Linked DNA regions of Oryzias latipes. The protein of the gene in region 3 binds, or shares a complex with, the protein of the main gene of each other region. Links are inferred from orthologs where the notes say so. Each region holds a gene or a part of one and is shown on either strand. Other genes may lie near its edges.

Region 1 (4,152 bases), on a different chromosome or scaffold from region 3:
TTTTATTTTTTTCTCAATAAATTCAGTAAACCCAATAAAGTATATCCATTTCATGCATGACAACTATTTTTTATTAGGAAGCACCTCTTAGTTTGTTGCGGGTCTGGAATCATAAGCGGTGAGTCTAAGCCCCGCCCCCGTCTCTCTACATGTTCCTCTGCAACTCCAAGTTGTTTTCCCCCGCCTACAGCCCCCCCCCTCAGCGTGTTCTACACAGACAGCGCAACATACGGTCATCATACCAGCAAGTTGACAGGATGTAGGGGCGCCCTAACGCAAATGTAATTAATTTTACGCAGAAATGGGTTGTTTTAGTCTAGGAAAACCACATAGAGCCATAAAGCTGCAGCACAGGGATGAAAGAGCCGCATGCGGCTCCGGAGCCCCAGGTTGCCGACCCCTGGACTAAGTCATTCATTAATATCAATGGGCAAGTCTGTCTAAATTTTTGACTGCTGGATTTATCATTAGAAATAATTTGACATCAAATTTGACATCAAATAGTACATTTTGCAAAACATTTTAAATCATATAAAGCTAAAAAACAAGTCCCACTCTTACCTTTTGGCTCCAGTGCAGACCATCTTCCCAGAGCTGAAGATGAGAGCTGTAGTTCTTGGTTCTCGTATTCTCATAATGACTGCAGCAAAACGCTGGAAGGTGGCATAGTAACGGCAACATTACAATGTTTTTCCCACTTCAGTTGTAGAGCTTTCTAACTTTACAAACGTAGCCGTATTTTGGAAATATAAGGCCTGTTTTGTTTAAGGTTTAGACGGATGATGGCCCAAAGTAAATAAATTCATTTGCCTTACTTGCTTACAAATCAAAGCTAACAGTTAAAAAAACATGAAAAGATGATCAGTTTGGGATTACCTTTGGGTTGTATTCAGCATTCCTGGCTCTTAAGGCAATAGTCTTCAGGTCCAATTTACAACCCAGATTTACAGTAGAAACTATGTTTCTAGTGGCAAAAAAAACAAATGGGACAACGTTATTTTAATAAAAACATTGCATTTAGTTGTGTAAAAAAACATTTAGAACAATAAAACATTTAAAACGAATTTTCTTTAAATGTATCCATTTTTAAAATAAATTCAATTTCCTTTTTCATGTATAACCCAAAAAGTTAAATTTGTAAATGGGTATGCAGTATTAGTCAATGTTCTCATCTCTCTGTGAATCGTATGCAACGTACTGTAGCTGTGGTACGATGCCAGAGCTCTCTGAGGCAGGTGTTGCTGGAGCGATGGGGGTCATAGGCGTCACCGGAGCGCTGTAGAGCGGGGTGTTCCCCGGTAGCGCAGTGGTAGTTGAACCTGGTACTGGCTGAGAATGAAAGAGCTGTGGAGTCTGTCCTGATGCTCCTGGAAGACCTATGAGACAATACCAATTATCTTTTCTTAGTAAAAAAACACAAATCCAGTAAATTAAATACATTTTTAGATTCACCTCAACATAAGAGAAAAGAATATGAATAAAAAGTTTGTTTTACCTGTGTTCAACTGCTGTGTTTGTTGCTGCTGCTGTTGTTGTTGCTGTTGCCTCTGCTGCTCCTCCAGTATGGACAAACTGTTTGTGTTTTGTACTGGCTGGGGCGTGAGGCCCGAGCCGTACGGCATCATGGGACTGAACACTGGCATGGTTGGGGTCATCACACCCTGCATAATACAATACCACCACGTTGTTAAATTAGAAGAAAGTTTTTTTTTTTTTTAAAAGCTCAGTATTTACAGTAATGCAAAATATGACCTGCAGTATGACTTTCTGAAGCAACCGGAAATCATGCTCTGATTAAATGTAATCGTAGATACAATACAGAAATACAAAATAAAAGAATCATGATTTCCTTAATGAAATTTATATTTCAGTCATAAATATCTTGAAAATAAATATATCAAATTTAAATAAAAGTAACTCATATTCAAAACTAACCAAAACATATGTAATAAGTTGAAATTGAGAACTTATCAATATTTTTCTCAATATTTTGTGATGACCCGATCATGTAATTAGAAATATTATATTTGTGAAATGTTTGTTTTATGAAAACCATTTTGAAGAAACCAAAGCGGAGATTAATACCGGAGGTGAAGCCAGGCCTTGAAAGGCTTGGATGCTGTTGTTTTGGTCCATGTTTTGTGCTTCTCCCGTTCCAACACTGCCAACCACTATTAGGCAGTTGTCCAATCCACTTTCGCAGCAGGTGCCTTGAATTGAGAGGGCTCTATGTACGTAGAAAAAGACCACTAGAATAAAAATAGACTTCACAATCTCCCCTGTTTTTTTCCACAATGCTGAGTCCAGAACGCTGAAAAACAGAAGATGTGTGTGTGTGTACACAGAAGAGAAGTTAGCAAAACTAGAACAGAAATAAGAGCGCGAACATAAAAGAAACATAATATTCTGAGTCACGAGGTCTGCAGTTACCGTGAACCTCATTGTGTGGCCTTTCAAATGCTTTTTTTTAAATCATTAATTCTTGTCTATAGACGATCAGTTCTCTCGTAGCACATCTGACAGCCTTCAAATTAAACACACCGGCTAGCTGAAGTTAGCTGCATAGCTAAAGTAAGCTAGCATACACATAGGGATACAAACCCTTTTCTGTGGCGTAAAGCGTTTGCCGCGTTAAAAAAAGTTGAAAACTAAACTATATGTGTTGAAAGAAAAGCCTGTTAATGAAAGGCAACTTACTGGTATCGTTTTGGAGCTGAAGTGACCACAAAAACAAGATAATGCGAGCTTAGCTTGTTTTATCTAACGCTCAGTCTGGGAAGAAAATGCTTGGCTCCTTCCGGAAGAAGAAGCTTTAACTTCCGGCGTGTCACAGCGCGCAGTCAGACAGAGCAAAGATGGCGTCGCTGAGTGACAAATCAGTTTGGGACGAGGTGGAAGATGGAATCGGAGAAGAAGTGTTAAAAATGTCCACAGAGGAGATAGTCCAGCGCACTCGTCTCCTCGACAGCGAGATAAAGATCATGAAGAGCGAAGTGCTTCGGGTGACTCATGAGCTCCAGGCCATGAAGGATAAAATCAAAGAAAACACGGAGAAGATAAAGGTGAACAAAACTCTGCCGTACTTGGTTTCGAACGTGATTGAGCTGCTGGATGTGGATCCCAACGACCAAGAGGAAGATGGGGCAAATGTGGATTTGGATTCCCAGAGAAAAGGAAAGTGCGCTGTCATTAAAACCTCCACCCGGCAGACATACTTCCTGCCGGTGATCGGGCTGGTGGACGCCGAGAAGCTGAAACCTGGAGATCTTGTTGGGGTCAACAAAGACTCCTACCTGATCCTGGAGACCCTGCCCACAGAGTACGACTCCAGAGTTAAAGCCATGGAGGTGGATGAGCGTCCCACTGAGCAGTACAGCGACATAGGCGGCCTTGATAAGCAGATCCAGGAGCTGGTGGAGGCTATAGTCTTGCCTATGAACCACAAGGAGAAGTTTGAGAACCTGGGCATCCAGCCACCCAAAGGGGTTCTCATGTACGGCCCACCTGGTACAGGAAAAACCCTCCTGGCCAGGGCCTGTGCTGCTCAGACCAAAGCTACCTTCCTAAAGCTGGCAGGTCCGCAGTTGGTACAGATGTTCATTGGAGATGGCGCCAAGCTGGTCAGAGATGCCTTCGCTTTGGCTAAAGAGAAAGCTCCGTCCATCATCTTCATCGATGAACTGGATGCTATTGGAACGAAGAGGTTCGACAGCGAGAAGGCTGGAGATCGAGAGGTGCAGAGGACCATGCTGGAGCTGCTCAACCAGCTGGACGGTTTTCAGCCCAACATGCAGGTCAAGGTAAAGATGCTTTCCATGTAAACATTTGTGTAAAACTAATTGTAATTAGTTACAGCATTATATTCTTTAATCTTTTAAAATGGTTGCTAAATTTTACATTTAAACTTTAGCATGCACTCTAATAATGTTGTGCTCCAGGTCTGACCACAGTGCTCTTGTAAATCCTTCATAGGTGATTGCTGCCACCAACAGAGTGGACATCCTGGACCCTGCTCTGCTTCGTTCAGGTCGGCTCGACAGAAAGATCGAGTTCCCCATGCCGAACGAAGAGGCCAGAGCTCGCATCATGCAGATTCACTCCCGCAAGATGAATGTCAGTCCTGATGTCAATTATGAGGAGCTGGCTCGCTGC
Region 2 (3,941 bases), on a different chromosome or scaffold from region 3:
TCGCTATAAAATGAAGTTAATCAACACTTGTAATTGTTTTGTATAAAAGAAAGAAATATTTATTTACAGTGTACCACCAAGTGGAAATCACAGACCTCAGTGTAGTTTGTTGGAGGAACTATAAAAAATACAACAGAGGTTTACAAAAACATGGTGTTTTGTCTCTAAGATGTTCATATGTTCCACTTTTCTAGATCCCAGTTTTACAAAGGTGGATGAAGGCGGTAGAAAACAGAGGAGGGGGGTTAAAAGGCCAGCTTCTTCATGAGGAGATAGACTCTGGAGTCTACCTCAAAGCCGTGTAGATTGTTGGCATCTCCCTGCAGCCTCATGAGAAGGCCTCCATAAGACACATAGGCTGAGCTGAAAGAACAAGCACATCATTAGAGGACTTGATCAACATTTACACATACATACAGTTTATTTAAATTTTTACTAATCACTAAATTGACAGCACTTGACTTTTAACTTAAATAAAGGATTGTAATGATCTACATGCATTTGTGTAGAACTTACAGACGCGTGGCTGCTTCTGTTGAGGTCTCATCGCCTTCTATCTTGTAGACCTTTCCATACATTACATAGTCAAACTGAGCTGCCCTAGAAACAATTTAAAAATGGAAGATGAATCAAAAGCATCACACATTATCTGCCACAGATTGAAAGACATGGATGTTCATTTATCTTCTTTAAATGCCTTGCCTAGATGGTCGATCATCCTGGGGATTGTACTCTCCATCATCTGGCGTTCCATCTTCATATAATGTACTGGCAATCACCAGTCTGAACTTGTCCCCTTTTTGAAACATGCAAAAAAAAATCTGGATTTATCATAGCAATGTACATAATCACCTAAGATCAAGCTACACTTCTAATACAATAGTTTTACATTGAGTCAAAACTGAGTTAAAATAACTTATCAATTCTGCACCAACACCTTACAAGAGTGAAGAATGACAGTTTCACTAAATACTACCAATAATCAATTTAAAAATTCCTCCACAAAGGCCAAATGTCTAAGATCAAACAAGACATAAACAATAAAGGACATTGTTAATTTCTTACCAAGATCAACAGGATAAATCTGAGTATTTACATCCAAGATCAGGTCCATCTTGAAAGATTCACTTTCACAATGCAGACGAGACACTGCAGTATAAGTAATAATAACCTGTATTAGTTTATATTAAAGAGAACTGAAAACATTATGAAACTGACTAACGCGCTTTTAGATATCCATCTTTTTCAAGCAAATGCATATAATGATTATGTTTGTTATTGTGTTAGTTTTAAAGCTACTAAAAAGCAGGATTGAAGGTTTCCCAACTCAGTAATGTGATGACTGTAATGTTTAGCTGTAATAAAATAATAAAATAAAAGCTGTAATTACTGACAACACAATTTTTTAGTCACACTTAACACAATATGAACAAAAATGCAATATACAATTGTAATTATGACTTTTACAACTGAAACTATCTACTGGTGAAGATCGTTTTTGTGTTTTTACAGTGACAGTCCACATACCTCTGTCAAATTTCTTGCCATCTGGATCAATGTCTTTCACATCAAAAATATCTTCAAACAAAATCCCAGCCATCTTTATCCCTTTCTGTTAAACCTAAAACAGATTCATCATAAAACAAAATTAAAAGGGAAGGTTAGTCACACAGCAAAGCATTTTACGTAGCCAAGTCAATCAAGAAAAACACACTATAGCAGTGAGTGCTATATTGTGTTTTTCACAGTTTCAGTGTGAAATTCCTATGACTCTTCTTTCTTCTTTCTTTCTCTTTCGGCTTTTCCCATCAGGGGTCGCCACAGCGAATCATCCTTTTCCACCTCACTCTATCATGAACATCTTCTACCCTAACATTAGCCAACTTCATGTCCTCTGTTAAGACATCCATATATCTCCTCTTTGACCGTCCTCTTGGCCTCCTGCCAGGCAGCTCCATCTCCAACATCCTTCTAGTTCTACCAATATATCCACTATCCCTCCTCTGAACATGTCCAAACCATCTCATTCTGGCTTCTCTGACTTTGTCGCTAACACAGGCAACATGGGCCGTCCCTCTGATGTACTCGTTCCTTATCCTGTCTAACCTGGTCACTCCTAAGCGTTCTGGTCCCGATCTTGACTATAATTAATTAAAAACAAGTTAAAAAGAAAAAGGAATAGGTCAAAACAAATGGAAATCACAAAGCTCTCCCACCGTGTCAAAGTGGGTGAACAAAACTTGTCACAACTTTGGACAACTTTAACAATGTTCACTTACGCGCTAACTGTAGCATCATGTTGTCCACACAAAATATAATACTTACCCCCAAGTGCTGTTCTTGTATTTTTGTGTAAATAGTATGCCCTGGAATGTGGTGAATTCGTGTAAAAACGATAATAATGTAACCTAGACGTCAGATATTTGATTTAGATAGATTTTCATTCATTATTAAGCGAAATAGTCGGTACCGCGCAGAACCAGCGTGTTCGACCTTTGACATAACAAGAACTTCCGTTTTTTTGTCTCTTTTTTTCTTTTAAAAGAAAGACGCATGTTTTGCTTTACTGAATGTTATACATTTTTTAGAAAGGGAAAAATGCGTTGCGATGGTGTAATGTAGAAAAAATGATCACTAAAATAACACCAATTAAATTTGCCTACCGTTTTATTTGAAGGCTCACAATAGGTCAAAGATGGGGAAAAAACGAATAATATTTTGGCTAAATTTTACGTAGCAAATAAAAAAAAGATTTTTATAAAAGTATTTGTTTTCTCTCAATTATTTAACTGATAATTTAAGTAACCAACAACTGAACTAATTTTACGACAGTTTTTACTAACTTCCGTCTGTCGTCATCTTGTTGCTAGGTGCGTTTAGCGTCCTCTGTGTGGACGGTTGCTAGCTAATGTTAAGGCTGTTGTTTTTACCATAAGCGTCATTATATCGAAAAAATAATTACCAATATACATTTTAAGCATAAATAAAATATTTAATGAAACTTCTAATGCGGATTCTTACCAAGAAAAGATGGTCAAACGAGGTAAGGAACGCTCATCATGTGAACAAACCTGACTGAAACAATTATTGACTAGCTTCCTGCAGTTTGCAGCTCTTCAAATCTCTGCCGTTATAGTTAACGTGTTTTCCGCTATAAAATGCATACAAAGATGAAAATAATTTTTTTTTGATCATAGTAGTAACATTAGGATGGTCTTAGTTTTAGGGCAGGGATGTCCACTTAGTTTCTTCTGTTTAGTTTAGCAATCAGCTATTGAATTCTATGACTTTATGTTCTTTATGATTCATGTTTATTACACAATTACCGGAATGAAGCCCATTGAGATGACTATTGCTGTAAATATTGGGCTATAAATACAATGTAATTGAATTGAATACAACTACAGTAACCTCGGTTGGAACAAACAAATAATAATTCGGAAAGAAAACTGAAACCGTACAAGTTAATACAGGTTGTAATTATTTGCTCTTGTTCGAATAAGCAAGACTGGTCATCTTTACATTAAAACGTGAAATTATTGAAGTATTTTTTTCTTTTTCTTTTTGCCTGTCTGTGCTATTCTGTCTGTTCAGACTGTTACCTGTTTTTTGTAAGTGCAAAGGAATTTCAAACTGAGCCCCAAATGACGGCCGGTATTTTGACAGCTGTGGTCCACGGATGAGTTCAACTAAGACAGCCAAGATGGGAGACATCTTGGCAACTGAAGCCGATCTCCTTGGGATGATTAAAGAGGTAAAGCATGATAGGGATGTGAAGAAAAAAACTGCAATTAAAATCCATAATCTGTTTATTCTGATAGTTGATCTAACATTTCAATGTATTCCACGATGGTGATTGTATAATTAACACACTTTGTGTTTGTTCTCTTTAGTACCTGAAGTTTGGGGAATTTGAAGAAACGGTTCAAATTTTTGACAAA
Region 3 (4,088 bases):
ACAACACCAATCCTCATCCTCCCTTCATAATCTGCAGATGTGTTCAATGACACGCCAGGTTCCAGGAAAACAGAATGCTTACAGAAACCCAGTCAACCTTTCGTTGTTGTGTTTCAGTATTTGTTCATCTGGGATTTGTAGTTGTTGTATGTCAACGTGTCTTGCACCGTCTCGGCCACCGTAGAGGAACACTGCAGACATCTGAATTCTTCAAAGCAAACCAGCACTGAGCTGAGAAAAAACTGAGATGTCGCATCACAAACACTTCAACACAGCTGTCAGTCAACCCGCAGAGTCCGTAAGGCCCCGCACCGATTCACGCGAGGATTAGCATGCGGTAAGTCACGACCCCGGGCCGTCCCCACGGAGAAAAACACTGAACTGACCGCGTCACCTTGGAGTTTCCTTCAAACCTGATCAGTTCCAGGCAGACTCCAGAGCAGACACGGACTTCATCCTCGGAGGAAGACTACCCTAACCCCGAACCGACGCGATCCTGCGGCTGACATCCAGACGGACTCAGGGAGGGCTAGCCGCGCGACATGCTAACGCTAACCCAGACTGCAGTACGCTGACTTCCGGGTTAGCCTCCAAACCAAAACCCTCCGGAGGGGAGCGTTCAGACTCACCGGGGACCGCAGTCCAACGACGAGGCCTCAGACGCAGAGACTGCAGGAGAACCACAAGCCTTCGCCCGGATCCTTCACGCCGCTGCTCCTCAGACGGATCGATCTGTGCAGTCAGCTGATCGGTGGACGTGTGACGGCTACATCCGGTCCCGGGAAAATAAAACACCGCGGAAATATATACTGTGCTTTTAAATTGAGTTATAACCGATACAAACATGAAGTCAGACATTTTGCTGTGATGGTAGAGTTTGCATGATATCACTGTGAGTTTTCTCCCTTTGCCCCTCACAGTTTAATGTTTTATAGGTTGGTTTGCGGTTTGAACTCTTATTTTGAAGTTGTTTTTTAAACTGTTGCCATCAAACTGAATTGTTTACTTAATTAATAATAATAATAATAATAATAATAATAATAATAATAATAATAATAATAATAATAATAATAATAATAATAATATATAAATAAATAATGTTTGACCATTGTTGTTGTTATTTATGTCGAACGTTTCTGTATTAACTTTGTTGTGATATTTTATTGTAAAACGTTTTCACACCTATTAATGTCATTTGTTTGGAGGGGGTCATCCAACTTTATTCTAGGTCTATTTCTATTATTAAAAACTTTTTTTTTTCAAATGTAGCGGAAGTTCTTGTTTTGTTATTGAGTTGGACTTCCGGTTACAGTCGGAGCTTGAACACGTGTTGATCGAGGTTCTTGAAGAGCTGCGTTTGTCCGTGGTGTCTTTGGACGCCGCCGTGTTTTCACCTCGGTCTGGACGTGCGTTCGTGGGATCGAGTGGATTCCTGTCACGCGGCGGTCGCGCCGACGCAGCTTTCCTTTTGTCCGACTAACAGGCGCGCGCCGCGGAGCTAACAGCGTAGCCGAGCCGTTAGACATGTGCGGACGTGTTCCCGGGAATCACCCGCCGTGACACAAATCCGGACGCCTGGAAGTTACTTCAGCAGATCAAAAGGGATCGAATGGATCATCGGTTCCCTCTGAAACTTTTCCCTTCGTTTTACAACCACGGACCCCCGAATTCGAGGCAGAAGCCCTGCGCGGGCGGATGGGGCAGTTACGAGCGCGTCATTCCTCAGGTGGGTCATTTGGTGCAACGGCCTGCCTCATGGTGTGTCATCTCAATCATCATCCATATTCCCGAAACACGGGGCTTCGATTCCGGGACTCCACAATAAATGCACCTTAGTGTATGTCGCTTAGTTATTATGCGACATAGAAAATAATTGGTTCTTTGTCATGATAAAGACTGAAATATAAAGATGTGTTTTTGTTTTTTTACGGTCTACAAAAGGTCAGGGACTCTTTTTAAAATGAGACAGGATCATGTGCAACAAAGAATCATCACGATCCATCTGCAGCAAAATTACCTCAACGACCAAAACACTAGAAGGAGCTGCATGTCCAGCAAATCCAGGCTGAATGTTTATGTTGATGAATGTAAATGAAACTAAAGGGTAATAATTGGAATCCTGGTGTAAGGCAGGTCTGATCAGCGCAGTGGTGGAGTGAGCGTCTCTCTAGCGTTTGATGCCCATCACACCTTTTTTGCAGATTGGCAGAAAAATATCTGGTTTGCAGAAACCGCCTGAGCTTCGCTGTTTCTGTGTGTTTACAGGAAGGGGCGGGTCCTGGCTCCAGCTGGTCCTTTACCTCCAGACACCAGGTCAGCGGGGAGACGTGGCTCCACGCCGAGCCTGTGCCCGTCCCGCTCCTGTCTCCCAGAAGCGGTGAGCTGCTTTCTCCTGCAGGAGATTGAGCCTCTGCTACGAGACGAGGCATTTGATGTGATTCTATCCACTGAAACCCGTTTGTCTTCTCCGCTGGAAGAGTACGGCGGCATAGATTCATGCATAAGGAGACACTGATTGTAGAAAACTCTCTGTTGCACAGCAGGTTGATCTCACAATCGTCTGGGGAGTTTTGGAGAATCCTACAAATCAAGGCGTTCCAAGTCCCATTGGTCTTTGGATAATGGTGATTTTGTTTTTAGCCAAAATCCTGTGTCGTTTTCTAGGACATTGAATCTTCAGAGCAGCAGGAGTTCATTAGAAATTCACCTCTGCGTTGTGGGCGGGACTGTTGGCGCAGAGTAAGCACGCTGTCGTTTCCCTGGCGTACAGCCCCTCACGAATCCAAGCTAACGTTACCGTTAAAAAAAACTGTACTGTAGCTACACAGAAGTCCATTTCTGATCCAGATTCCAGCTCAGAGCAGGAAAACAAAGACGTTCATGGGTCTGTTGGTCTGCAGGTGGATGATCAGAAAGGGGCGGAGCATGGAGACTTTGGCCACGCCCAGCACATTTGTTGCTCAACAAATAAGCTCTGTATCAAATGGAATTTATCCTGATTTACAACAATTTAAATAAAGAAATACTAATTTTGTCCTCAATCATGAAAAAATGTCGGAAGAACACGTTAAACACAGAGAAGCTTTAAGCTTGTAGAGCAGCTTAAAGAGCCTTTACCTTTCCCTGAGAACCTTTCAGAGTCAACAATGTCCACATAGGACTATCTGTTACCTTTGACACAGTTCTTATGAAATATAAGTTACTTTCAGCTCATTTTCCAACCTGGAAGTAAGATGACTCGATCTCCGAGGCTCCGCCTTTCTCTCCTTGTGGGCTCCGCCCATTTCATGACATCATCCTAGTGTCTACGTTTCTCCTACGAAAACATTCAAACTTTTCCAAAGATGGATGTGCATATTGTGTATTGAAAGGAAAGCGTCTACCCGATCACCGCTAGCTTCACTGAGAGAGTGGGCGTGTCTATTAGCCTGGAGGCGGGGCTGGCAGGGCAGACTCTTCCTGAAAGGGGCGGTTCCTCACTTTGTGATGTCACAGTGTGAGAACGCACTGGTTTTGGGAGGGGCTGGTGCTCAGAGAGCAGGTTTTTAGAGGAACACTCAGACATTCATGAATGGATCCAAATACTACTTTGGGTTGTTTATAGTGAAGAATGAAGATTATAAAACACTGAAAAGCTCCACAAGTTGATTCTGCATGATAAAGACCCTTTAGAACGTTTCACCTCAGGAGAAACGGACTGAAATAACAACTTAGGATGAGAAGTTTACTGAAGTTGATCCACTGGATCACTGGAGCAGTCAGCTGATCATCAGGGGGCTGGAGAACCTTCACGTTTTCAAACAGGGAAGTGAAATGTTTGAGGCTGTTTTATTGAATACAGTGGTGTTATCTGTGAATGTCCTCTGTTCCAGCTTTTCTCCCATCTGTGACGCCTCCAGAGCCGGCAGACTTCACTGAACACGTAAGGAAGCAGCAGTTCATGCACTGACAGCCTCATATGGTTCCCTTTGATGGCAGAGCATCAGCCAAGCAGGGTTATGATCAAAGTGAGGCTGGCTCTGCTGCGTTACTCAGCAGGTCCTCTCTCTGCTCTGAGGGAAACCAAAGCCGGAGGCTACACTTCCAGT

What was found.
Region 1: taf1c (region 3) and tbp share a complex: the UniProt entries of both Homo sapiens proteins name them as parts of the transcription factor SL1/TIF-IB complex. The link is inferred for Oryzias latipes from reciprocal best matches to the Homo sapiens genes TAF1C and TBP.
Region 2: taf1c (region 3) and polr2h share a complex: the UniProt entries of both Homo sapiens proteins name them as parts of the pol I pre-initiation complex. The link is inferred for Oryzias latipes from reciprocal best matches to the Homo sapiens genes TAF1C and POLR2H.

The regions. Positions count from the first base shown.
Region 1 is NC_019861.2:24,481,923-24,486,074, forward strand, and holds the start of tbp (TATA-box-binding protein), read right to left. Parts: upstream 2,801-4,152; 5' UTR 2,698-2,800; intron 2,312-2,697; 5' UTR 2,137-2,311; coding exon 2,086-2,136; intron 1,662-2,085; coding exon 1,496-1,661; intron 1,377-1,495; coding exon 1,199-1,376; intron 965-1,198; coding exon 877-964; intron 654-876; coding exon 562-653; intron 1-561. Other genes in the region: psmc3 (26S protease regulatory subunit 6A), read left to right, coding at 2,856-3,800, 3,973-4,152. UniProt on the Homo sapiens protein: The TFIID basal transcription factor complex plays a major role in the initiation of RNA polymerase II (Pol II)-dependent transcription.
Region 2 is NC_019862.2:11,777,386-11,781,326, reverse strand, and holds the start of polr2h (DNA-directed RNA polymerases I, II, and III subunit RPABC3), read right to left. Parts: upstream 2,815-3,941; 5' UTR 2,664-2,814; intron 2,517-2,663; exon of another isoform or gene 2,326-2,516; intron 1,622-2,325; 5' UTR 1,601-1,621; coding exon 1,528-1,600; intron 1,150-1,527; coding exon 1,066-1,149; intron 797-1,065; coding exon 703-796; intron 601-702; coding exon 517-600; intron 364-516; coding exon 246-363; 3' UTR 1-245. Other genes in the region: lisH domain-containing protein ARMC9, read left to right, coding at 3,680-3,754, 3,894-3,941. UniProt on the Homo sapiens protein: DNA-dependent RNA polymerase catalyzes the transcription of DNA into RNA using the four ribonucleoside triphosphates as substrates.
Region 3 is NC_019870.2:29,159,922-29,164,009, forward strand, and holds the start of taf1c (TATA box-binding protein-associated factor RNA polymerase I subunit C), read left to right. Parts: upstream 1-1,278; 5' UTR 1,279-1,609; coding exon 1,610-1,726; intron 1,727-2,265; coding exon 2,266-2,377; intron 2,378-3,872; coding exon 3,873-3,922; intron 3,923-4,088. UniProt on the Homo sapiens protein: Component of the transcription factor SL1/TIF-IB complex, which is involved in the assembly of the PIC (pre-initiation complex) during RNA polymerase I-dependent transcription.